7 linked regions of the Ovis aries genome follow. The protein of the gene in region 6 purifies or fractionates together with the protein of the main gene of each other region. This does not show direct contact. Links are inferred from orthologs where the notes say so. Each region holds a gene or a part of one and is shown on either strand. Other genes may lie near its edges. The genes, in order: WDCP, EFTUD2, EPC2, ZNHIT6, ACTL6A, RUVBL1 and tubulin alpha-1A chain.

What was found.
Region 1: the proteins of RUVBL1 (region 6) and WDCP purify together in Homo sapiens (affinity purification with mass spectrometry; 6 studies listed by BioGRID and IntAct, counting the BioPlex papers as one, with this or other methods). This does not show direct contact. The link is inferred for Ovis aries from reciprocal best matches to the Homo sapiens genes RUVBL1 and WDCP.
Region 2: the proteins of RUVBL1 (region 6) and EFTUD2 purify together in Homo sapiens (affinity purification with mass spectrometry; 4 studies listed by BioGRID and IntAct, with this or other methods). This does not show direct contact. The link is inferred for Ovis aries from reciprocal best matches to the Homo sapiens genes RUVBL1 and EFTUD2.
Region 3: the proteins of RUVBL1 (region 6) and EPC2 purify together in Homo sapiens (co-immunoprecipitation; 3 studies listed by BioGRID and IntAct, counting the BioPlex papers as one, with this or other methods). This does not show direct contact. The link is inferred for Ovis aries from reciprocal best matches to the Homo sapiens genes RUVBL1 and EPC2.
Region 4: the proteins of RUVBL1 (region 6) and ZNHIT6 purify together in Homo sapiens (co-immunoprecipitation; 3 studies listed by BioGRID and IntAct, counting the BioPlex papers as one, with this or other methods). This does not show direct contact. The link is inferred for Ovis aries from reciprocal best matches to the Homo sapiens genes RUVBL1 and ZNHIT6.
Region 5: the proteins of RUVBL1 (region 6) and ACTL6A purify together in Homo sapiens (affinity purification with mass spectrometry; 10 studies listed by BioGRID and IntAct, counting the BioPlex papers as one, with this or other methods). This does not show direct contact. The link is inferred for Ovis aries from reciprocal best matches to the Homo sapiens genes RUVBL1 and ACTL6A.
Region 7: the proteins of RUVBL1 (region 6) and tubulin alpha-1A chain purify together in Homo sapiens (affinity purification with western blotting; 3 studies listed by BioGRID and IntAct, with this or other methods). This does not show direct contact. The link is inferred for Ovis aries from reciprocal best matches to the Homo sapiens genes RUVBL1 and TUBA1A.

The regions. Positions count from the first base shown.
Region 1 is NC_056056.1:31,711,822-31,714,315, reverse strand, and holds part of WDCP (WD repeat and coiled-coil-containing protein), read left to right. Parts: intron 1-412; coding exon 413-530; intron 531-2,494.
Region 2 is NC_056064.1:44,341,667-44,345,785, reverse strand, and holds the start of EFTUD2 (116 kDa U5 small nuclear ribonucleoprotein component), read left to right. Parts: upstream 1-1,319; 5' UTR 1,320-1,371; exon of another isoform or gene 1,372-2,418; intron 2,419-4,119. UniProt on the Homo sapiens protein: Required for pre-mRNA splicing as component of the spliceosome, including pre-catalytic, catalytic and post-catalytic spliceosomal complexes. Component of the U5 snRNP and the U4/U6-U5 tri-snRNP complex, a building block of the spliceosome.
Region 3 is NC_056055.1:160,788,409-160,791,908, reverse strand, and holds part of EPC2 (enhancer of polycomb homolog 2), read left to right. Parts: intron 1-295; coding exon 296-441; intron 442-551; coding exon 552-895; intron 896-3,500. UniProt on the Homo sapiens protein: May play a role in transcription or DNA repair.
Region 4 is NC_056054.1:62,750,581-62,754,757, forward strand, and holds the start of ZNHIT6 (box C/D snoRNA protein 1), read right to left. Parts: upstream 2,801-4,177; 5' UTR 2,647-2,800; coding exon 1,988-2,646; intron 865-1,987; coding exon 799-864; intron 714-798; coding exon 607-713; intron 517-606; coding exon 431-516; intron 1-430. UniProt on the Homo sapiens protein: Required for box C/D snoRNAs accumulation involved in snoRNA processing, snoRNA transport to the nucleolus and ribosome biogenesis.
Region 5 is NC_056054.1:208,331,245-208,334,744, reverse strand, and holds part of ACTL6A (actin-like protein 6A), read left to right. Parts: intron 1-1,217; coding exon 1,218-1,294; intron 1,295-1,458; coding exon 1,459-1,633; intron 1,634-3,500.
Region 6 is NC_056072.1:59,415,849-59,419,348, reverse strand, and holds part of RUVBL1 (ruvB-like 1), read right to left. Parts: intron 1,439-3,500; coding exon 1,336-1,438; intron 1-1,335. UniProt on the Homo sapiens protein: Possesses single-stranded DNA-stimulated ATPase and ATP-dependent DNA helicase (3' to 5') activity; hexamerization is thought to be critical for ATP hydrolysis and adjacent subunits in the ring-like structure contribute to the ATPase activity.
Region 7 is NC_056056.1:137,067,846-137,072,113, forward strand, and holds the start of tubulin alpha-1A chain, read left to right. Parts: upstream 1-1,468; 5' UTR 1,469-1,566; coding exon 1,567-1,569; exon of another isoform or gene 1,570-2,078; intron 2,079-3,573; coding exon 3,574-3,796; intron 3,797-3,932; coding exon 3,933-4,081; intron 4,082-4,268. UniProt on the Homo sapiens protein: Tubulin is the major constituent of microtubules, a cylinder consisting of laterally associated linear protofilaments composed of alpha- and beta-tubulin heterodimers.

The sequences.
Region 1 (2,494 bases), on a different chromosome or scaffold from region 6:
AAACCAAAAAACTTCATGTGGCTCACTTTATTTCAGTGGCCTGGAACCAAAATCTGCAATCTCTGAGGTATGCCTGTTTCTAAAACAGCCAAGCAGTTTTTCCTCACCATCTGATTGTCTTTCTCATGCTGCCATCCATCATCCTATAAAGCTATTAGTCTCATCCTAGAAAAACCAATTCCTAGAGATAAAGACATAACCTTGGGGAGGAACAGAGCAAAAGGAAATTTGGGGTTGTATCTTGTCTGTTGCTTTAGTTGTGCAAAATAATGCAGCAAAAAGCTCCTTATTAACACTGAAGTTGATAGTGGTAATAGATAAGAATTTGTTAAACTGTACATTCTATTCTTAAGAAATGTTAACCCCATTGCTTCTGCAATCAGTTTAACAATTTTTATCTTTATTTTTGAAGAAATGTCATTTTGTACGTCCTGTTGTTGAAAAAAGAATGATGCTTCTCTGCAATGGCAAGCTAAGACTCAGCACAGTCCAACAGACTTTCGGCCTCTCTCTTGTTGAAATGCTGCATGGTAGGTAAAATTCAGAAGGCGACTCTACCCGATATCCCCTCCCTCAATTTTGTGACTGTCACTGGTGATGAAAATGAGGTGTACCAACCATTTAGTGATTCAGTAGACAGTTAAAAAGTATTATTAATTGTTATTGTATATCTAGGCCTGTTATAGGTGCCGAAACACACAGAAAATATGGGTTCTGCCCTTAAGGAACTTGCAACCTAGTTGAAAAACCTGAGTGCACACATGAAAAAACTAAATAGAGTTGCAAAGCAATACGTAACAACTGCAGGAAATGACAGAAAACCTCATATGTAGTAGTTGCATTAAAACATAAAAAGCATCGCAGAATATTTCTTTTGTGTGTGTGGCGGGGGGCGGGGCTCTGTGCACACACATTCTTTCATCTGTTTATTAATTTGGGGGCTACACCACATGCCATATGAGATCTGAGATCTTAGTTCCCCAGCTAGGGATTGAACCCTTGTCTGCTGCAGGGGAAGTCTTAGCCACTGGATGGCTAGGGAAGTTCCTATATTCTTTTTTCAAAATATTCTTTCCCATTGTGGTTTATCACAGAACACTGAATATAGTTCTCTGTGCTATACAGTAGGACCTTATTGTTTTCTTTCTTTTTGGGGGCCGCGCCTTGAAGCTTGTGGGGATTCAGTTCCCCAACCAGGGATTGAACCCAGGCCACAGCAGTGACAGCCTGGAATCCTAACCACTCGGCCACCAGGAAACTCCCATAGAATATTTCTTAAAGGCATTGTCATTTTTTTTTTAATTTATTTTTTTTATTGAAGGATAATGCCTTTACAGAACTTTGCTGCTTTCTGTCAAACCTATGAATCAGCCATAGGTATACATATATCCCCTCCCTGGAACCTCCCCCCCATGTCCCTCCCCATCCCACCCCTCTAGATTGATACAGAGCCCCCGTTTGAATTTACTGAGCCATACAGCAAATTCCTGTTGGCTATCTATTTTACATATGGTAATGTAAGTTTCCATGTTACTCTTTCCATACATCTCACCCTCTCCTCCCCTCTCCCCATGTCCATAAGTCTCTTCTCTATGTCTGTTTAGGAGCTGTCATTTTAATATGCAGCATACGTGCACATGAAGGACTCTCCTAGATGCCTTAGGACTGACTCATGCCTGTGTTCCATCTGATGGGCAACATGGTGGTTTTCTTATGCCTCAGTCTTCAGGACAGCCACACGCTAAACATAAAGTTTTTTTTTAATTTCATTTTTTTTTCCTGCTAAACGTTTGTAGCATCAGCATTTTTCTATTTTGATACATGCATTTATGATACGACTTGATAACTGTAATTTTTACTGGGTTAATATTCTGTCTTGGATATACCATATTTTTTTTCCTTCCAGTTTTATTGAGATACAATTGACATACAGTGCTATAAAGTGTACAACATAACAATTTGACTTAATACATCATGTAAGTTAGTGAAGAGCCATCATCTCATATAGACAGAAAAACTTTTTCCTTGTGATGAGCAGTATTTACTCTCTTAATACCATATTTCAGTTTGCCTTGTTTTCTTTGACATTTAAGTGGTTTCCAATTTTTCATTATCATCAATAACACTAATAAAAACCTTTCTGTATTTTATACATTTTTGGAAAGTGTAGATTTTCAAAAGTGAAATTACAGGGTCACAGTAGACTCAAAAGAACCAGAAAAAGTCCAGGTATGTGTTATACCAGTGGTCCTAGGTTACCTCAGAACAAACTATTTAGGATTATCTGGGCATTTCTAGCCTGGCGCTAGTCAGCTCAACCTCCTTGGGTGTCTAGAGGCTGGCATGGATCTCAAAAATATAGACTTGTCCTCCATAGAGTTGCTGTTGCCAGCTTTGTGTAGTTTCTGGAGAAACTACTAGATGGCATTAGAAAAGGTAGGGACACCATCCACACCCCCTAACACCAGCATGCACACATGCACACACGAGCTCA
Region 2 (4,119 bases), on a different chromosome or scaffold from region 6:
TGGACTCCGGGAGTTGGTGATGGACAGGGAGGCCTGATGTGCTGCGCTTCGTGGGGTCGCAAAGAGTTGGACACGACTGAGCGACTGCACTGAACTGAACAGAAGGCGGCTCTGTCCATGAAATTCTCCAGGCAAGAATACTGGAGTGGGTTGCCATTCCCTTCTCCAGTGTTATATTCCCGATCCAGGGATCCAACCCGGGTCTCCCACACTGCAGGCAGATTCTTTATGATCTGAGCCACCAGGGAAGCACCCATACTTAAATGTCTTATAAGGAGAAAAGATACTTTCCACCCGAAACCAGATGCAATGACTGAGCAGGAAATCAAGTGGACGCGACAGAGGAAGGGGCTTAATGATCCCCGTTCTCAAACCCCTCTGTCCAGCCCAAGGCTGGAGCATAAATCTCTAGGTACTTGGGCAACCTCTTTAGTTCTGTCTCTGTACTTCTGCAACTTCCGGGTGTCTGAGGCTGACTGATTCGTTCTATAGAGATCACCTATACGAGTTTTAATCTTGGATCCGCATTTACTGCTGTGAGACCTTTCTGAACCTTACTACTACTGCTCCGAGCTATTTGCTAAAGATCACTTGGCGAAGTCATCCCCACCAAGCTCCTCAGTCCCTGGGATCTCCCAGGCAAAAATACTGGAGTGGGTTGCCATTTCCTCCTCCAGGGCATCTTCCTGGCCCAGGTCTCCAGCACTGCAGGCAGATTCTTTACCGTCTGAGCCACCAGGCAAGCCCCAACACGGAAGCAGGAGGCCTAAAACCAACCCTCCACCCTAACATGGGTAAGCGAAAGACCAAGAAGTAGGGTGGGCTGGCCAGGAACTGAACTCAGGTGTCCTGACTCCTGCCTAGTTCTAAGCCTTTCCCAGTCACTGAAAATCTAGAACATCTAATCCTCCTGCCCCCTGACCTTCACCCCAGCAGCCGGGGCCTCGGTTTCCTTTCTTTCTTTGGGGATGCCCAGACACTGCCCGACGAAGTCAGCTCAGCGTAGACCACGCCCAGCAGCTGTGGTTGCCCAGCAACTGCTACAACAGCCTCCCACGTGATCGCCCCGAAGGCCCCCAGTCAGGGTGGCCCCGAGGCGCCTGATCAGATTCACGCCTCCTCAGGCCTCGCTTTCTCTGGAGCAGCCCACGCCGTGGTTTGGGGACCCACAGTTCCTCTTCTCAGGTTCCGGTGTCCGCAGCCGGGATTCCTCCGAGCTGGTCCACAGGCAGAGGGCTGCCCTCCCGGGAAGAAACGCAACCGCGGCGCCTGTGGGGTCCTTCCGAACGGCGGGCGCAGGCGGTGAGGCGGCGTGGGGCGGAAGCACGATCTCCAGCGGCCGACTGGGAGTTTTTGGCTGAGCAGCGGGAGGTGAGTGGCGCTGGTCAGCGTCAGGGGAGGCTTGCTCTGGTGGAATGGGAAATTAGTCAGATTTGGAAGAGATGCTATGTGTTATATGCCACTTTCACTTTACAGATGGGTAAATTGAGGCGTGGAGTAGGATAGAGAATGAAAGCCCCCCCACCCCCCAACCGATTCCTGGGTTCCCTGCGTGTCGTCCGTCTATAAAACCCTTTCCCTGGGCAGGGGTCGTTCTTGCAGTGTCTATTCCCCTATCTTACTCTCTCTTCCAACTGTGCCGCCTTCACTTCTCTATCAAGCTCCCTCCGTCGTTACTCTATGTTCCTTTGAGAGCCTGCATTGTAGCGGGAAGCTGCAGTGAAGTTTGGTACCGAAATTCACTAGTTTTGTGCAACTGTGGGCAGGTCAGCTGTCTTCTCTGTGCCTTGTTGGGGCCATACATTTCGTCATTCAGTAAGTGGTTCTGTTTTGTGGCAGGCACCCTTTTAAGTGAAAACAAAAACAGTCCTTGCTTAAACTGTAGTTGGAGAGGTGACGGTAAATACACGAAGATACTTGTCAGCTAATGATAAATGTTAATAAAAATAATAAAACATTGAAAATAGGGGTTGGAGAATGTGTGTGTGGGGGGGGGGAGTTTTTTAGAGTGACAAGGGAAGGTTTCTCAGAGAAGGTGCTGTTTTAGTAGAGACCTGAGTGAGATGAAGGAACAAGGTATATATGCCCAAGGGAAGAGCATTTTGGAAGAGAAGAGTAAGTGCAGTGGCCCTGAAGCAGAAATGACTTGGATTATTTCATGAACAGCCTTGTATAGAAATTTCTGCAGTCATTTCATGGGTGTCTTGGGAGAATGAAATGTGCACAGAGATGATAGCTCTTTGGAAATAAAAAGAATATGCATATGAAAGTTTCTGTGATAAATCACATTTACTTATTAGTAGTGGAGCTCTTAATTCTCTATTTTATCCACAGTCAGCACTCCACAAGGGGCACTGAAGGAGGTGGAGGGATTACCGTTGTGGAAGAAATACCAGTATCTCAAAATTGAACCTTCTGGTCAGTTAACATTTATCTAGTGCCTACTCATGTGAAGTGGTGTCTTGGGCATTGGCACATGGGCACAAGGAGCACAGGGTTCCTGTATTCAAGAATGGCCAAAAAAGTTTTTTAACTAAAAAATACAAATAAAACAGACAAAAGAATGGCTAAAAAATAATGCCAGTTAACATTGATTGATCCTGGAATCATGATGAATTCTTTACACAGCCTATTTTTTTTAATTCTCATAATGCTTTATGTGGTGAAAATTAATCACTTTATTTTCCAATTGAAGAAACAGGCTTGGAGAGGTGAAGGGCTTACTGAAAGTGACATAGTTATTAAGTGACAAAGTTTGGATTCAAATCTAGGTCTGCCAGTTCCAGAGCCCTGACCAGTAACCCATGCTCTGGTCTGTTGTCTATTACTTGTAAGCTGTAGAGTTGTTGTTGAGGGTAGTTAATGCAGTTAACTACCGTTGATGACAGAAGTAAATGCTGATAAAGACACAAAAGGCTGTGGCATCATAGGTGAGTGAGAAATTGAGGCTCAAGGAAGACTTGAAGGAAATGGTCTTTGAACAGTTATTTTGAATAGAATTTCAATACTTGAAGTGGAGACAGCCCACGAAATATTTATGAACTGCGGAGAGAAAACAAGTAACTTTATACAGTGGAAAAGCCTGGTAGACACCACCACAATCAAGTGGTTACGTTAACATCACCACTGATGGGAGAAATTAAAATCATATGCCACTTGTTAGGAGTTGCACCGAAAAGAGCACAGCCTCACTACTGTGATAGTCTTACCAAAAAAAAAAAGCATAACTTGACTCTAATCATGAGGAAACATCAGACAAACTTAAATTCAGGAACATTCTACAAACTCACTAGCCTGTAATCTTCAAAAGCGTCAAGTCACAGAAATCAAGGAAAGGCCAAGGATTGTTCCAGATTGAAAGAGACTGAAGACATGATAGCCAGGTGCAAACATGGAATCCTCTGCTGTGCAGGACATTAGTGGAACAATTTCTGAAACTTGTATGGGGGCCTGTGGATTAGGTGTAGTGATGTGTCAGTATTTTCTGATTTTGATGGTTGTATTGTGGTTATGCAGAAGAATGTCCTTGTTTGTAGGAATCATGTGCGCTAAGAACAGGGGTTGGCAAACTTTGTCTATTAAGGGCCAGATAGTAAGTATTTTAGGCTCTGTGGCCATATAGTCTCAGAGGCAGCTACTCAGCTGTTACAGGCTGAAAGCAGTCACAGACGGTATAAAGAAAGGGGCATGGCTGTGTTCTAGTAAAGCTGTTTTCATAGACACTGAAATTTGAATTTCATAGAACTAATTGTCATGTATCATGAAACACTCGTCCTTTGACTTTTTTTTCCAACTGTTTAAAAATATTTTAAAAATCATACCTTCCAGGCCGTTATGAGAACAGCCAGATTTGGCCACAGGCTATAGTTTACCAACTTCTGCACTAAAGTCTGAGGAGGTGATGAGACATTGTGTCAGCAACTTATTCTCAAATAACTTAGGAAAAAGTGATGTGCACTGTTTTTGCAACTTCCTGTATTTAATTATTTTAAAATTAAAATTCTTTTAGTATTAAAAAAACAAACAAACAAGTGGGCTGGGACTTCCCTGGCAGTCCAGTGGTAGGACTCCATGCTTCTACTGCAGGGGGCATGGGTTCAAGCCCTGGTGGAGGGGAGG
Region 3 (3,500 bases), on a different chromosome or scaffold from region 6:
GAATAGCAACTCTTCTACATAAATGTTAGAAGCCACATTGTTCTTTAAATATATTTCTTTTAAAATATATCTTAAATGTATTGATAGTCATAAAAATTTAGTTTATTTTGATGAGTGAACTTCTTTATCAGTTTTATAGAATTTAACCTGGTTAACATTTAAATCCCGATTTTAAATTTTTATATCTAAATTTTAATTGTTCTGCTAATACTGTAGTTTATTTTTATCATGATTTAACTTTTCTTCATTTCAGAATTATTCTATGAGTTTCAATTTTTCCTTCCCTTTTGTGCAGCCTCGTTTGGACCAAACTAACCGTTCATTTGGAAATTCAGAATTGGCAGATTTGGATAAGTTAAGATACAGGCATTGTCTTACAACACTCACAGTCCCAAGACGATGTATAGGATTTGCAAGAAGGCGAATTGGCAGAGGTGGAAGGTAAACTGTTCGTTTTGACATGGTATTTGTTTACAAGATGGAAGGGGACAGTATTAAGAAAATGTTATTAAGTTCTTCTAGGTAATATTTGGCTTTATATTGTTTTTCAGGGTCATAATGGACCGGATAGCCACAGAACATGACCCAGTCCTGAAACAGATAGACCCTGAAATGCTGAATGGTTTTTCAAGCGCTTCCCAAAATATAGACTTTTCTTCTAATTTCTCTCGGACCAATGCTTCCAATAAACATTGTGAAAATAGACTGTCCCTTTCTGAAATATTAAGCAATATCAGATCGTGTCGACTACAGTGTTTCCAGCCAAGGCTACTAAATTTACAGGACAGTGATAGTGAAGAATGTACCTCAAGAAAACCAGGGCAGACTGTGAACAATAGAAGAGTTTCTGCAGCATCTGTAGCTTTATTGAACACCAGCAAGAATGGCATATCAGGTAAGTTGCTACTTGTTAAAAGTATATCCTCTTCTCTTCTTAATTTTTCATTATCCACTAGTCTTTCAGGATGAATTTTGAAGGTTTATTTTCATGATCCTACTGAGGAAAGGAATTGTAGCTTAACAATTCCCCCCAATGTAGGAAACTAAACTCTATTATTGTGGTTTGCATTTTAACCAAAAGTTCCAAACCAATACCTGTAAAACCACTCACTTTGAATGTGTGTGCCTGGTATGGTGAGTGTGTAGGGAGAATGTGTAGAGAATTCTCTCTGGGCAGAGTGATTATTAGCTACTATTAGATCATCATAGCACAAAAGTGTTTTTGTTATAGAAAGCTTAACACACTAACCTGACAGGCTCCTCTGTCCATGGAATTCTCCAGGCAAGAATACTGGAGTAGGTTACCATTTCCTTCTCCAGGGGATCTTCCAGACCCAGGGATCAAACCCGGGTCTCACGCATTTTAAGCAGATTCTTTACCATCTGAGCCAACAGGGAAGCCTCTTTTCCTTTCGCTTTCATTTATTGTATCGACTTTGCTTAAATGTAAGCATTGCCCCTCAGAAATGCCATTAAAGCTTTCTTTCTGAAAAATGTAGTTTTGGTCTGATAATATACCTCTCTAATTGAGATCAAGAAGTATTTTACGTTTTAAGAGACATTGTACTAAAATTAATATACCTTGGCATTGTGAATAATGTGTAACATCTAGAGACTCTTAAGATGTAATTTTTATTTGTTTTCTTCTGTGGATAGTCTTCTCTTTATCACATATATATAAGTGTATAACTTGTGAATGTCTTTATAATGTATAAATTGCAAAAAATGCATGGTATACAAAGGCAAAGCTAGACGTGGCTTGACTTAAACTGTTGATATCCTTTCTTTCTGTAAAATGTATTTATTTCTAAATTATTTCCTGGACAGTGTATTTTACTATATAAAATTGATGTGTTATACTTCTTCAAAGTGATTTTAAATCATTTTAGGTTGAAATTTTGTCTCAATAGTGTTCAGTCCTTTTTAATTACTGAGCTGTTTATTTTCAAACTTTACTTACACATTTGTCTATTTAGAGGTTGTTATGGAAAATTGGATTTGTTTGCATGATTGGAAGCTGCCATATCATTTCTCCAACTTAGTTGGTTAATTTTCTCCCAAATGAACTTAGGTAAGGAAAATGGTATCCCATTATATAAAGTTCATGAGTCTGTGAAGTTTAATGACCTTTTGAAGCTGAAATGGATTAATACCTAATATGACTTTAGACAGCAGGATTCTTAGAAGTGTAAAAATAGTAAGAGCCAGACATCCTGGAATGTGAAGTCAAGTGGGCCTTTAGGAAACATCACTAAGAACAAAGCTGTTGGAGGTGATGGAATTCCAGTTGAGCTATTTCAAATTCTAAAGATGATGCTGTGAAAGTGCTGCACTCAATATACCAGCAAATTTGGAAAACTGGGCAGTGACCACAGGACTGGAAAAGGTCAGTTTTCATTCCATCCCAAAGAAAGGCAATGCCAAAGAATGCTCAAACTACCTAACAATTTTACTCATCTCACACGCTAGTAAAGTAATGCTCAAAATTCTCCAAACCAGGCTTTAGCAATACATGAACCGTGAACTTCCAGATGTTCAAGCTGGTTTTAGAAAAGGCAGAGGAACCAGAGATCAAATTGTCAACATCCACTGGATCATCGAAAAGGCAAGAGAGTTCCAGAAAAACATCTATTTCTGCTTTATTGACTAAGCCAAAGCCTTTGACTGTGTGGATCACAATAACTGGAAAATTCTGAAAGAGATGGGAATACCAGACCACCTGACCTGCCTCTTGAGAAATCTGTATGCAGATCAGGAAGCAACAGTTAGTACTGGACATGGAACAACAGACTGGTTCTAAATAGGAAAAGGAGTACATCAAGGTTGTATATTGTTACCCTGCTTATTTAACTTACATGCAGAGTACATCATGAGAAACCCTGGCGGGAAGAAGCACAAGCTGGAATGAAGATTGCCAGGAGAAATATCAATAACCTCAGATATGCAGATGACACCACCCTTATGGCAGAAAGTGAAGAAGAACTAAAGAGCCTCTTGATGAAAGTGAAAGAGGAGAGTGAAAAAGTTGGCTTACAGTTCAACATTCAGAAAACTAAGATCATGGCATCTGGTCCCATCACATCATGACAAATAGAAGGGCAAAGAATGGAAACTGTGGCAGACTTTATTTTTGGGGGCTCCAGAGTCACTGCAGATGGTGACTGCAGCCATGAAATTAAAAGACGCTTACTCCTTGGAAGCAAAATTAGGACCAACCTAGACAACATATTAAAAAGCAGGGACATTACTTTGCCAATGAAGGTCTGTCTAGTCAAGGCTATGGTTTTTCCAGTAGTCATGTACGCATGTGAGAGTTGGACTATAAAGAAAGCTGAGTGCCGAAGAATTGATGCTTTTGAATTGTTGTATTGGAGAAGACTCTTGAGAGCTCCTTAGACTGCAAGGAGATCCAACCAGTCCATCCTAAAGGAGATCAGTCCTGGGTGTTCATTGGAAGGACTGATGTTGAAGCTGAAACTCCAGTACTTTGGCCACCTGAT
Region 4 (4,177 bases), on a different chromosome or scaffold from region 6:
GGGACGACAGAGGATGAGATAGCTGGATGGTATCACTGACTCGATGGACATGAGTCTGAGTGAATTCCGGGAGTTGGTGATGGACAGGGAGGCCTGCCGTGCTGCGATTCATGGGGTTGCGAAGAGTCAAACACGACTGAGTGACTGAACTGAACTAAACTGAACTAAACCTACTGTTGTCCTCTATCTTTCAGATGCACTTAACTCTATCTGAAATTATATTTGTTCCTGTACTCATCCCCTGTCTCTCCCGCTACAAGTTCCATGAGGGGAAGGACTTAGTTTTGGTCACTGCTGTATCCCTAGCAACTGGAATAGCCCTGGATCATAGTAGCCACTTAATACACTATTTGTTGAGTGCAAAAAGAAAAAAAAGAATCCATTTGACTAGAAGAAATTCTAACTGGGAAAGAACAGAAGAAATACTTACATGTTTATTGCTGATTGGTCTTTTCAAGAAAGCATCTCTAGAAATATGGTCTGCTGTTCTTGCCACATCTTCTAAAAATCGATAATCTACAAATTTAAAAAAAAAACAGAAAAATAAATAAATGATATATGCCTATGGCCAAGAAGCATCAGTCTGCTATACATAAGATGGCTTACCACTTAGGAGATTCATTTCTGTAAACTGTTGTATTGAAACATACGCAGTTTTATCTCGAACTCCATTACATGTTAGTTCTGCTTTGTGTTTCTTTACACAGGGCAAACTGAAGGGACAAAGAGAAGGAACTTTTACCTTTTGAGATTAAAAGGGTACAGGCAGAGATAATAAGGTAGAAATTACATATATACCTGCAGGAATACCGCAAACAACGTGGACATCTGTACTTTGCTTCTTCTGTACCACAAGTTTCACATCTACAAAAGCCCATAAGAAACTTAATAAATTATCAAATATTAATTCTATATATTTATTTATAAACTTTTAATCCATCACAATTCACAGACATGCAGTCACAGTGAATAAAGTAGATGCAAGTAACTCTAATGAAATAATGGACAGCTGTCAAACATTATTAGAAAATTCCCCTCTAGGAAACCATCTCTAAATGACACTACATTTACAATGTTGTTTAATGATAGGTAATTCAAGAAAACATGTACTACATTTAAAAAATTATCTCACTGAGACTTCCTTTTCTAAATAATCAGACAGTGAGATCGTTTATTGATATTTTAACTTTGTAACTCCTGACGCTGTTAACAACTGTGTGTGTGCACATACCCAGAAGTCCAATCCATGAGCTGTGTATATATCTTAAAGGCAGACACATTCAGAAAAAGAAGACCCAGGCAAATTTAGAGAGCAGCAGTTGCATCTTTTTTCCTCAGTTCCTCACGCAACTGAGAATGGGCACCAAAACCCTCTAGAAATACTACTACCCATCATCTGTCTCCAACTGATCTTTCACTTGAGTGACAGTGTACAATGACAATCAAACTACAAACAGACAAGCAAACTACATGTTGGTTCACTGTATTCGAGACAGAAATGGTCCCAAGAATCTGACTACTCTCATGCCACATGATCACACTATAAAGAAATTAAATCAAAAGCAATAAATGTTCACAGTACCCATAGAGAAAAACTAGCCAAGTGAGTGAGTCACAATGTACTTTGCCTAATTTTAACTTACTCCACTTTTCCTTGCTGGTTTTATTAGACTGTTCCTCACACCTATCCTCTCTCAAAGGAATACTGAGCCAAGGGCATACAAAGTCAAGCCAGATTCTGGTCCACGGGTTTTCCGGTCCCAAGAATTTTCACTTCCTAACTTGGCCACTGGACACTAGTACCAACCTCACATATTTCCACAGAATTTGCTGTTATCAGACAAAACCCTCCTTTCCTAATCGCCCCTCCCTCCACCACTCAGACTCCCGGCCCAAACACGCGCTTATTTTTCATTATTCCACACCTTACTGATCGTGTAGTTTCTTTCAACCTAGATAACAAAGGACCTTCACAGCTCTGCCCTACCTTGACATGGCCAGTTTCCGCTTGGAGCCCACTGAGGGATTTATTTGAGGCTCTTCTTTCACCCTTGTATCATCCATCATTTCTTCTTTGGGGGAATACTTCTCTTCTTTTACATACACTTCATCCATTATTTCCTCCTTTTTAATATTCTGATCAAGAGACACTTCCTCACGTTTAATATCCAAGCTATCTTTCTTCTCTTCCTTCACTTCCAGCCAGTCCATCACTTCTTCCTTCACCTTCACTTTCTCTTCCTTTATCTCTGTTTCTTCCACCTTTTCTTCTTTTACCATCAAACTACTATCCATCTCCTGCTTCACCTCCAGTGTGGCTGGTTTTTCCTCTTTCACCTCATGTCCGTCCTCCTCCTGCTTTACCCACTGGCCATTCAGTGTACCTTCTACCATTTCTGACCAGTCCATTACTTCTTGCTTCACAACCGTTAGGGCTATTCGCATCTCCTCTGCTCTTCGTCTACTTTCTTCTTCCCCTGCCCCTGTCTTCTCCATTCCGGTCAGACCATTCTCCGCCCCTCCAGCGCCAGACTCCTCCGTCCTTACTTTCTCTTGATCTGACTCGAGACTTAGCCGCGCCCCCTCAGCTTCACTCTGGAGACCTCCTCCCGACATCTCTTCACTTTCAGCAGCAAAATCCATCATCTCAAGATCCTTGACCTCCGTTGCCACTCCGTCCTTCAATGTGTTTGGTTCACGCCAAGAGGGCTGAGTTACCTGCAAAAACACGAAGAGCTGCCCACGTGCATAACAGAGAAGTAGCAAGCAGTGGACGCCGACCCGGCGCGCCTGTCCCAACGGTCGTAAAGCAACGCTTCCGCACCGTGCCCTTTCACGACTCATGGAGCTCTTTACGGCTCTGCGGCAGTCCCGCCCAGATCTTCCCGGGATCCGTCTGAGACCACGCCCACTTCGATCCCGCTTGCGGGGCGGGGTTTCATCAAACCCTTCCCTTGGAGAGGCGGTGCTTTCTGCACGGGGCCGCATGCTTCCGCTTTAAGAGACCGGAGGAGTTCAGAATAAGGGAGAGAGGCGGAATCCTCGCTACATTCGAATGTGAAGACCTACCCTACTCTGTTCTAAGCTTGCATGAAGATGGAAGAAATACCTAATAGCACTATTCTCCATGCTTCAGTTTCTTAAGCAGTACTCCAGAGACGATGGTATTATAAATCTCTTAGTTTAGTTTGATGTTACGTGTAATAATGTATGGAAATAAGCTAGCAGTGATAAAACAAACAACATATCGTCTCTATTATTACCGGGAGGTTTCAGGTAGAAAGAAGGCATTATTTTTATTCTTTCAGTTATTTGTCAATAACAGCTGGCATCAGCCAGTTCCCTATTTACAGCATATATTTAAAGACTGGGTCAAAAAAATCAGTCTCCAGGATTTCCTAGAACTTATAGGGGAAAAAACCCAAAACAACCCTCAATAAATGAAAATTTTTCTGGCATCCATTTCAGTTACTTTTGTTGTTGTTGTGTTGTTGAGTTGCTAAGTCATTTCCAACTCTTTTGCAAGTCCACCAGGCTCCTCCTCTGTACTCTAGGCAAGAGTACTGAAATTGGTTGCCATTTTCTTCTTTAGGGAATCTTCCCTACCCAGGAGTTGAACTCGTATCTCCAGCGTCTTTGCATTGCAAGTGGATTTTTACCACTGAGCCACCAGTTACTTTTAAAGATTGTTATCACGTACTGATAACCATGATGGTGTGATCACTCACCTAGAGCCAGATATCCTGAAATGTGAAGTCAAGTGGGCCTTAGAAAGCATCACTATGAACAAAGCTAGTGGAGGTGATGGAATTCCAGTTGAGCTATTTCAGATTCTAAAAGATGATGCTGTGAAAGTGCTACACTCAATATGCCAGCAAATTTGGAAAACTTAGCGTGGCCACAGGACTGGAAAAGGTCAGTTTTCATTCTAATCCCAAAGAAAGGCAATGCCAAAGAATGCTCAAACCACTGCACGATTACACTCATCTCACATGCTAGTGAAGTAATGCTCAAAATGCTCCAAGCCAGGATTCAGCAATATGTGAACCGTGAACTTCCAGATGTTCAAGTTGGTTTTAGAAAAGGCAGAGGAACCAGAGATCAAATTGCCAACATCCGCTAGATCATGGAAAAAGCAAGAGAGTTCCAGAAAAACCTCTATTTCTGCTTTATTGAC
Region 5 (3,500 bases), on a different chromosome or scaffold from region 6:
GGCCAAAGTATTGGAGTTTCAGCTTCAGCATCAGTCCTTCCAAAGAACACTCAGGACTGATCTCCTTTAGAATGGACTGGTTGGATCTCCTTGCAGTCCAAGGGACTCTCAAGAGTCTTCTCCAACACCACAGTTCAAAAGCATCAATTCTTCAGCACTCAGCTTTCTTCACAGTTCAACTCTCACATCCATACATGACCACTTGAAAAACCATAGCCTTGACTAGACGGACCTTTGTTGGCAAAGTAATGTCTCTGCTTTTCAATATGCTATCTAGGTTGGTCATAACTTTCCTTCCAAGGAGTAAGCGTCTTTTAATTTCATGGCTGCAATCACCATCTGCAGTGATTTTGGAGCCCCCCAAAATAAAGTCTGACACTGTTTCCCCAACTATTTCCCATGAAGTGATGGGACCAGATCTTAGTTTTCTGAATGTTGAGCTTTAAGCCAACTTTTTCGCTCTCCTCTTTCTCTTTCATCAAGAGGCTTTTTGGTTCCTCTTCACTTTCTGCCATAAGGGTAGTGTCATCTGCGTGTCTGAGATAATTGATATTTCTTCTGGCAATCTTGATTCCAGCTTGTGCTTCTTCCAGCCTAGCGTTTCTCATCATCTACTTTGCATGTAAGTTAAATAAGCAAGGTGACAATATATAGCCTTGACATACTCCTTTTCCTATTTGCAACCAGTCTGTTGTTCCATGTCCAGTTCTAACTGTTGCTTCCTGACCTGCATATAGGTTTCTCAGGAGGCAGGTCAGGTGGTCTGGTATTCCCATCTCTTTCAGAATTTTCCACAGTTTATTGTGATCCACACAGTCAAAGGCTTTGGCATAGTCAATAAAGCAGAAATAGATGTTTTTCTGGAACTCTCTTGCTTTTTCCATGATCCAGCGGATGTTGACAATTTGATCTCTGGTTCCTCTGCCTTTTCTAAAACCAGCTTGACCATCTGGAAGTTCACGGTTCACATATTGCTGCCTGGCTTGGAGAAAAACTCTCCTTAAATTACCTAATTTTAGCGTATCGTCTCTTTGCTGATTGAACCTCTACTAATATACTATATTTGACTTGCTATATTTTAATTAAATAAGTCTTTAAAGCATATTTAAAACTAGGTTCAAAGTAGTAGTAACATGAATATAAGCACATTAAGTACTCTTTAATTTTCATATGGTACTTGTAAGTTGTTAATGTTGGTTATCTTTTCATCTTTTCAGATGAAGTTGGAGCCCTTGTTTTTGACATTGGATCCTATACTGTGAGAGCTGGTTATGCTGGTGAAGACTGTCCCAAGGTCAGTGTAATGTTAGAGTTAATTGGATATACAGGAGCCATTCATGCAGAGTTAAATTCACTCAGAAAGTCTAACTCAAATATGGTAAAAGATATTAGTTGGTGGGAAATGACTCCTTGATAAAAGCATATAAAACTTGTAAATCATGTTTTTGACTCTTCCAGGTGGATTTCCCTACAGCTATTGGTATGGTGGTAGAAAGAGATGATGGAAGTACACTGATGGAAATCGATGGTGATAAGGGCAAACAAGGCGGTCCCACCTATTACATAGACACGAATGCCCTGCGAGTTCCGAGGGAGAACACAGAGGCCATCTCCCCACTGAAAAATGGGATGGGTATGTTTTTTCCTATGGATTTGATTATAAATGTAGAGTATGTATAGTATATTTCAGATATAAAGCAGTGGCTGCTTATAAGTTGAACATCAGCTATCTTCTTGTTCTTATTCCATGAACTGATGTTCCAGGCACTGAGAATACAAAGATGCGTAAAACATGTTTATTTTCCTAACAAACCTATAGGTATAGAAGCTAGATTTGTGTATATAAATATAACTGTGTTTGATAAGCAGTGGGGTTACAGAGGAGAGATATTTAACTCTGTGGGGGTCAGAGATGGTTTTCACAAAGGAGCTAACTGTGCTGAATCTTGATCACTGGATAAGAACTAGCCTGACTGACAAGGCTGGGTAAAGCAGAGCAGCCAGCATGTGTGAAGAGTGGTATTGTGGGAGAAACTTACATGTTTAGGAATGTCATCAGTTAAGTATGGCTATAATAGTAGGTGCATTAGGGCTGGTTTCAGGAAAGGCAGGCAGAGAGCAATCATAAAAGGGCTTGGAATGCCAGTATATTAAGCAGTTAACTGAAATGTTACCTCAAAGGAATTTTTAAACAGAGATGTGAAACGCTCATATATGCCAAATGGAAAGATTATTTTAACAGTAATACATAGGCATGATTAGAGGGAGATACTAGAAACAGGAAGATCAATTAGGGAGGTGAGTCCAAATGAGAAATGAAGAGGTTTTAAATTTTAACACTGATGGCAGAGATCCTGAGGTGGCTGTCTGAGATATCCAGGACAAATGGTGCTGAGAATTTAAACTTTCAAAAGTTTGAAAAAAAGTTTCCTAGATTTTTGGAGTCACTGAATAAGGGGTACCATGCACTAGGGAAGGAGCAAGCTTTATGGCCTTAAAAAGCAAATGTCCACTGTCACTCTTAGGTCCAGTTATTTACTAAAAGGATTCACGAGATTCAGCATGTAATGGTACCATAGCTAAGGTTTATTATGCCGAAAGGATACAAAGCAGAACTGACAAAAGGAAGAAAAGGGCATGCAGTGAAGTCCAGAGGAAACCAGCACAAGCTTCCAGGAGCTTACAGTGTAGTCATAAAGGATGTGCTTAAACCTTCCGGCAATGAGGAACATGTGTGTGTAGTCTGTTATGCGTGCTCAGTTATATCCAACTCTTTGTGACCCCATGGACTGTAGCCTCCCAGGCTCCTTTGTCCATGGGATTTCCCAGGCAAGAATACTGGAGTGGGTTACCGTTTCCTTTTCCAGAGGCTCTTCCTGACCCAGGCATCGAACCTGCATCTCCTGAGTCTCCTGCATTGGCAGATGGTTTCTTTATGACTGAGCCACCTGGGAAATCCATGGTCTACTAGGGGAGCACATTAAAGACTCAGCACCCTGCTTCACACTCACAGGATAGCTGTTTTATAAAGACAGACAATAGCAAGTGTGATGAGGATATAGAGAAACTGAAATCTCCATATCTATTTCTGGGAGAGAACATAAAATAGTACAGCAGCTTTGAAACATAGTTTGACAGTTTCTTAATAGGTTAAATATAAATTCACCTTATAATCCAAACAGTTCCACTCCTAGGTATCAGTACGAGAGAACTGAAACCCATGTCCACACAAATACTTAAATGCAAACGTTCATAGCAGCATTGTCCATATTAACTGAAAAGTGGATATAGTCCAAAGGTGCATCATTGGATGAATGGGTACACACAGTGTGCTATATCCATAAAAGGAAGTATTAATACTACTTGACAATAAAAGAAACAAAATAACTGATACAAGTCAAAATACCAGTTGGGTTTTGATGAACCCCAAAGCCTTATGCCAAATGGAGGAAATCAGATGCAAAATTCCACATAATGTGGAATCACTTACTCTAATATGG
Region 6 (3,500 bases):
CCCCACCTCCCACCCAGCTGCTGCCGCCACGGTGCTCAACCACCTGGGGTCTGAGCCATGCCGTCACGCAGGGAGAGCGCTGGCTCTACACGTCACGGGCCTCCTGGGCGCTGGTCCACAGGACACGCAAGGCCAGGCCAGACAGGCCACAGGCAGGCGGGGTGCTGCTGCGGAGGGTCCAGGAGAGGCCCTCTGAGCTCCGAAAGGAGCAGCCTGCTGGCCAATTGCCACAGAGACTGCCTCCCAGACGGGACATTTCTCACAGGGAGGAGGCTGGTGGCAGAGACATCAGGTAAGGGGCTTCAGGATGAGACAGCCTGGGTCCCAGTCCCAGTCCTGCCACAGATGGGCCATGTGAACCCGGGCAAGCTAACCAGTCTACATCTCAGCACCCGCTCTTTAAGAACATCAGTAGTAACTGTCTGCCCTACCTTGAGTGACGGGATCAAACGACTCAGTACCCCATCCGAGAGTGCTCTGGAGGAGACGGTCTGGCAGAGTCCCCCGGATGTCAGTGCGGCCCTGGGCACCCCAGGTCCCCAGCTGTGGCTGTACGGGGACCCACAGTGAGACCTATGCCCCAGCGAGACTGTCTGGGGTCAGGGTGGGCAGAGCAGATGGCTGGGCCCCGCAGCACACGGCCGGCTTTGTGTCCTGGAATCGCCACTTAGGGCTCAGCCAGCACCGGGGGAGAGGATGGCTCGGAAGGCCCAGAAGGGACGGGGCTGCCAAGGCTGCGGGCGCTGCGGGCATGTGGCTGCGGCTCCGACTCTGCAAGGAGAGCTGGGGCTGCGCCCTGCGGACGAGGCCAGTCCCGCGGCCCGTCACCTCTCCTGATTCAGCACAGGCGGAGCCGCCGTGAGCTCGGCGTGCCCCTGCACACCTTCCCTGCGAGCGTCACTCCACGGCCGCCACCCACACTGCCTCTGCTGGGGCCTGGGCTCTGCCCGCGGGAGCCAGGCTGCCGCAGGCTCCGGCGGGCTGGCGCCTGGGCGGGCCCATCACTGAGGGGCGCTCTGCTGCCTCTCTGAGCTGGGGCCTGCTTACTGGTGGTCCTCCAGTTGGTTTTCCCACGTCCTAAGGTTACCAGGCGGGATGGGGTAGAAGAGAGGACCGCCAGGACTCCCGGCAGCTGAGCCGCTGGGACACGGGAGGCAACGCCCTGCTGGCTCGCGTCACTCAGGTGGGCCAAGGCTGGGGAGCACGGAGACACGCCCTCGGCCGGCAGCGCCGTGGGGGGCGGTGGGGGGCCAGAGACACTCACGGGCTCCGTCCTGCCCGGTGTCAGGGGCCCGAGGGCGAGCGAGGGCGGGGAGGAGGGGCGGCGCGGCCCACCTGCTTCATCTCCTGCGGGGTGTACAGCATGGTCCGGATGATCATCACTCGGTCCAGAAGGTCGAGAGGGATGCCGTGAGGAGAGGTGACGTCCTCCGTGCCCCTGCAAGGCCGACAAGGTCCAGGTCACTCGGGCCTCTCTGGACAGTGGAACCATGGCCGAGGCCCCGGTGATAACAAAGCAGCTAGTTCTCGTCCTGAGAGTCAGAAGCAGGACCGCGAGGACAGACTCACTCGGGTGGCATCAGAAACCACGCCATTGTTTCTGCGAGTATCACCACCACGGGGAGTCGGGGGAGGAGGAGAAGGCCAACTGCAGCCGCGGCGAGGCTGTTCACAGCGGCATCTGCCACCCCCGCGCGCCACCCTAAGTGTGCAGATCCGTTTGGGCCGCTCCTGTCCCTGTTGTTTCAGTATAAACAGCCCATGACGAGTCTCACTGGACCCAAACTACAGGGCATTCACGTAGTGGTCCCTAGTGTTACTGTTATAACTAACGGTGTCTTAGGCATAACTGCCATGAACACTTCCTCAGCATCTCTCACAGAGCCGGACACAACCCTGAACATCTCCCTAAACACATGGACGGCTGAACCAAGGAATGTGCTCACGTCTGCAGCCGCGCGAGCGATCTGGCCCCCCGACACTGTGGCCAGCGCTGAGCAGCCTCACAGTTTGCTGCCTAAAGTTCTAGGAAAAGGAAGGCCTAGCACCGCATCTGACTCTGCGCGTCCTTGATTATTCATGAATCGTCTGAAGGCCTTCCCTCGTGTCCATCAGTTATTTATTTCTTTTGGGGAACTGTCCCATCATAACTTTTGCCTGTCTCTCTCTCGAATCCTTAGCCAAACCAGTGACTGGCCACCCCACCGGGTTGAACAGCACCAGCTCCCAGCGGGCTGTGTCCCAGGCAGACCCTGCGGCACGTGTTAGGCTTCAGCCGCGTCTGGAAGCCCAGCGAGCTGAGCCGGGGGCTCCTGCCTCCACTTGAGCAGGCCACAGCAGCAGGCCCCCAGTTCTGGCCTCCCCAACACTTAAAAGTAACTAAAGCGGCAAACTATGTTCTATGCATTTTACCACAATGAAAAAATAAAATAATAAAATGCTACATTAATCATTGCTAAATCTAATACTTAAAAATAATTAAGACCTTTTCAAACAAAAAAGGAAACAGACTAGTAGCAAATGCAAAATGTTAAGAAGCCACTAGAAAAAAATGAATCTTTTTCACCAACAAATATTTCTAAAAAAAATAAAGAATTGTAAGGAAAAAATTCTGTCATGATTAAACTCAGTATTTGGTATACCTGTAATCGTCATATTAAACAAAATAACCTCTAAAACCTCATTTAATCTTCAGTTATTTGATTCTGTGTAGGCTGTATTTTTCTCTTTCTACTTAGATATTCTCCTGGGAAAGTTTAAACGATCTCAATCCGCCATCTTGAAACATCCCCACTTCTATAACACTCATGATAAATTATCTTCATTTCAGAGACAGTGAATATAAAAGTCTAAAGAAAAAAAAATGGGAAAAAAACACGAAGGAACAGAATTTGTCAACATGTGTTAAAATCTTCTTTTGGTTTTAAGTCCATAAAACTAAAAATTTTAACAGAAAACAAAAACAAAAACTCTGCTTAAGAAATACTAAGCACTTCTCAGGAATTAAAGACCAAAGACTGTGGAAATGTGTTCAAGCTCGGACTCTGAGGCACAAAATTTCTTTCAGACAACGTATTAGAGAAAATGGTTTCTGGAACACACATCCTTCTGGATGGGGCTGGGGCCAAGTTCCCCAGGCCCCACTGGGTGGGTTCTGAGGTCACGGCCACCCTCCCGTGCCTCTTTTTTCCCTAGACGGCAGGAGGCGAAGAGGACTCTGACCCTGAGAGCTCTCGGCCGGGGTGGGCTCTGGCCGCGGGGCTCCCTCAGCAGGGGGCGCCAGCTGTCCAGGCTGGGCCCCTCTGCCCACTGTCACCCTGAAGCCAGGCCCCACCAAAGCGAGCCCAGAAAACATACGCGGCGCCTGTGTGGCCGGACACCGGGCTCTCCAGGCCAGGTGCCGTTTCCAGATGCTGCCCGGGGAGCCAGGCCCTGGCTGGCCTGGACCTGGTCCAAGCTGCCGTCCCTTCAAGACCAGAAGACAGCGGTGACGGTGACGA
Region 7 (4,268 bases), on a different chromosome or scaffold from region 6:
GCCCAGCAGGAATGAATGGATTCTGCAGAGCACTATAAATGGTGCTGCCGACCCTGAAAATCTCTTGCTAAAAGCCAAAAGGAAAAATTATCTGCCAAAATGCATATTTTCAACTTCAGGGGCCACAGCAAACCTCTTTACCTCTGAAATTTCATTAGCAACGTCAAATGGTACCCAGTCCAGAGGCATATTCTGCACTGTACATCCTTGTTGATAATGGAAGCTTTCTGAGTAGCAAAAGAATGTTACTGCACTCCACTTCCTTAAGCAAAGCCTTTTGTCCCAAGAGGCAGTTGAGCAACCACCAGTGTCTCTGACTGAATAGCAGCTGTATGAGGCTGGCTACAATTCCCACAGTTTGAAGCCCAATCTTAGAGGAGGAGAATTTACTGAATTCACATAAGATTTACATTAAAAAAAAATGCAGTTATTGAGGTGACATCTACACAGTTGTCTACGGAAGGAGACAATATTACAAAATAGTCTTCTTTTTCACACTATACAACTCTCTTCCTTTCTAATGTGGTATCCCAGTAATTTTCTCTTTCCAGAAGAGAGAACAATGCAGAATATAACTGCATGCACAGGTAGTACTAGCGTCTAAACTCAATTCTCTCTCCTTGTATTTTCTCAATTCTATATTAGAAAAGATGATCATTTTAAGCAACAATACACGACATAAAATATATTAACATAGACTTCTGGAATATTTCCAGTAGAGTAAGTATGGTGTGTTCATTAGATCTGAATTATCTTCATGTTAGAACTACTTGTGTGCTTCCATAGATTGATTGTTCTTTTCATCTAGTGTTTTTGTTTAGCTTTTAGGGAGAGGGTGGCAAAAGAAGGTCTGAAAAAAAATTACTTGAACCTGAGAAACCATTTTGGATGGTTATTGAATAATTTTTTAATTAAAAAAACAAAACAAAACAAAACACATTTACCCAAGCCATTTTAAGCATCATTCCCATCTTCTCTTCTACTTTATTTTTAAAGCACTAGAGATACTGAATCTTCACCAAATGTGGGTTTAGCACACTCTGAGGGAGAAGCTGAAAGTAATTTTCTATTAAAATATTTCATCTCAAATTCTGCGATTAAATGCTGGGAGGAAAACCTTTACATTGATGATTTTAACAGCAGTTTGAGGTTTAAACAATATAAAGTCACCCAACTCCAGTTCTCTTTCCCTCCCTCCCCCCACCCCTTCCCAACCCCACCCCGTAATGGATGCTCGGCTGACTGTTTTTGCTCGGTCTCTTTGTCTGAAGGATGCAAGCAGTCTATGGATGCTAGGGGAAAAGGGGTGGGGGAGAGATTACCTCATCCCATGTCGCATGCACCAATCACCACTCTTCTGTCGCGGCTCCTCTGGGCAGATTGAGGGGTCTGGACCAACAGGAAAAGGCCCCAGCCCATCCCCATGGTGACCGAGTTGTATATAGGGAGCCTCAGACGCCCATGTGCCGCAGGTTCTCTTACATCGACCGCCTAAGAGTCGCGCTGTAAGAAGTAACAACCTCTTCTCCTCTCCGCCATCTGCTCGGCAGCCGCAAAACAGCAACTATGGTAAGAGTGTCTCCTCCGGCTCTTTGTGACGCTGGGTGGGGTCAGCCTCCCCAGGGTCTCCTTGGAAAATCTTAAAACCTTTGTCCTTTACAACTCGATGGGTAAGAGTAGCTTTACATTTTATTTGCGAGTTTTGGCTTTGTCTGCGGCCGGACTCCCCGCCGCAGTGCGGGGTGCAGGAGCCCCACCACGACTGAGTCCAGGGCGCGGCTGAGCAGTGAGGGGGAACAAAGGCGGCGCCTAGGGAGGTTTTGTTACCCAAGTCCCTGGCAGCCGCGTGCAGCAGCCCATCTGTCGGTCAAGAAAGGGGCTGGGGCAGGCAGGGCGGTCTTGGCGTCGCCTGCTCGGCCCCCGTGTGCGCACGATAGTCGTGTGACTCGGAGAAGCCCTTCCTCGCGTTGTTCCCCAGGGACAGGGAGAGGATTCGTCGACCGAAAAGACGGGGGTCGGTGGGTGTAGCTGGGAAGAAGACTCGGGGAGAGAAGGAAAGGGACAAAGCGGAGCCTGAGGTTAGTATTAAAAAAAAAGGATCCCTCGCCAGTTCGTTGGTGTTTTAGAAAGACACCCATGTATTAACAGGCAAAATGGTTAGTTTCTGTGGCGGCCGGCGTCGAGGCGGCGCAGGGGCGGAGTTGTTTGTTTCTGCTTCTCTCGCCTTGGAGCCGCTGGGAGGGGTTCGTCCTCACTAAGCCTCCTCTGTCAGAAAGACTTTTAACAAGCCTTTCATCTTTACAGAACCGTAGGCGTTAAAAGGTTTTTCATTCACTGTCAAAACTTAGATTTTTTTTTTTTTTGAGGAGCAAAGTCACAGTTCACATGACAAGCCCTTTAACGTCTGGTCTGGGGCCGCCCCGCCCTGGCTGACTCCTGTGTGTCTGTCTTGATCGCATGTTCAGCGAGAGAAAAAGCCGATTTTGTGAGCCAGGGTGCTCTAATGCAGAGGACCCAGGGAAACGCCCTTCCCCGCCCCCAGCCCCCGTTTGTCAGTGACTAGACAATGGACAGACAAAGGAAGTTGTAACCGTAAAGGCTACGGAGGGGACACTCTACTGAATGTAATGAGCATGAGTATTCTGTGGTGGGTACGAAATTTCAGAATGAAAACATTATTTTGTTGTTTTATATAAATATTTAATTATTTCACTGGGCTTTAAGCTTGGTAGCTTTTCATGTTCTATTTATTTCTAGTTTAGGAACTGTTGTTTTAAAGATACTAATACTTTTTCAGTTTTTTGCAGAGGAGAAGATTCTGGGAAAACTTTTTTAAATAATGAAAATGCTGCAGACAAAGAAGACTTATACTTTGTGTAGCTGTCTTTTGTTCTAGTGCATCTTCATGAATTCATTTCAGTTTAGGCATATGGTCCCAGGCTGGGTCAGAAGAGGAAAACTGGCAGATAGCACAATGAGATCATGTAGGCAGTTGCTGGAAATAGAGCTTGCTCTGTTAAATAATGTAGCAGACAGTACAGGCTGGCACCAGGCACAGCAAATGCAGCAGTGCAGGAGACAGTCCTTGTTTAGCTTCTACCCCCTAATACTGATGGATTCTGCAGACAGACTGCAGAAGGGTGTGGCTTCTAGCCTCAGCTGCAGTACAGATGTCCATATTGAAATACCAAGTCCTATCAAAAAAATGTTCATCTTTAAAGGTGAAGGAGGCAGTAATAATGATTGCAATTAACTAGTGATTGAAATTACTTCATTTTACAAAAATTTTGTGCTTGACTATTTTTTAAATATGAAAAATCTTCTATTCAAGTATGGCTGTTGGAACAATCGGCTTGCACCATGTGCTTAACAGTGCAGCCTTATCCAGACCACACCCATCTGCAGCATTTGTAGCAAGTGCTTTTCTTTAACTGTTTCTATTATGTTAGGAATATGACCTCAAATAAATTCAAAGAATACTTGTATATTACTAGAAATCATTTTGGAAATTTATTGAAAATTGAAAATGCTAATATAACTAATTTTACAATTTTTCTCTTTTCCTTCCCACAGCGTGAGTGCATCTCCATCCACGTTGGCCAGGCTGGTGTCCAGATCGGCAATGCCTGCTGGGAGCTCTACTGCCTGGAACACGGCATTCAGCCCGATGGCCAGATGCCAAGTGACAAGACGATTGGGGGAGGAGACGACTCCTTCAATACCTTCTTCAGTGAGACAGGCGCTGGCAAGCATGTGCCCAGGGCAGTGTTTGTAGACCTGGAACCCACAGTCATTGGTGAGTTGACCTCAGTAGCTTCAATGAGAATCCTGAGGGTCTGTGACAGGAGGTGTGTCCTGTGGGCTCCACTGATACCCTGGGGTGGAGCTTGTATGGGTCATTGATGGGTGGCTGCTTCGTTTTCCTCTTCCAGATGAGGTTCGCACTGGCACCTACCGCCAGCTCTTCCACCCTGAACAGCTCATCACAGGCAAAGAAGATGCTGCCAACAACTATGCTCGAGGTCACTACACCATTGGCAAGGAGATCATTGACCTCGTCTTGGACCGAATTCGGAAACTGGTATGTGTATTCTCAAGAATAAAGTAAATTAATGAACCTAAGAGAGATATTTATAAAGTTCAATTAAAATATGGCCTATTTGATGTCATTTGATAAATATTCATGAAGATATTTTTAATAAAGAAATGCTGAGTAATTTAAGGAAGGTCTACATTTTAAAAGTTTCTGTCAAAATGCAATCTCATTC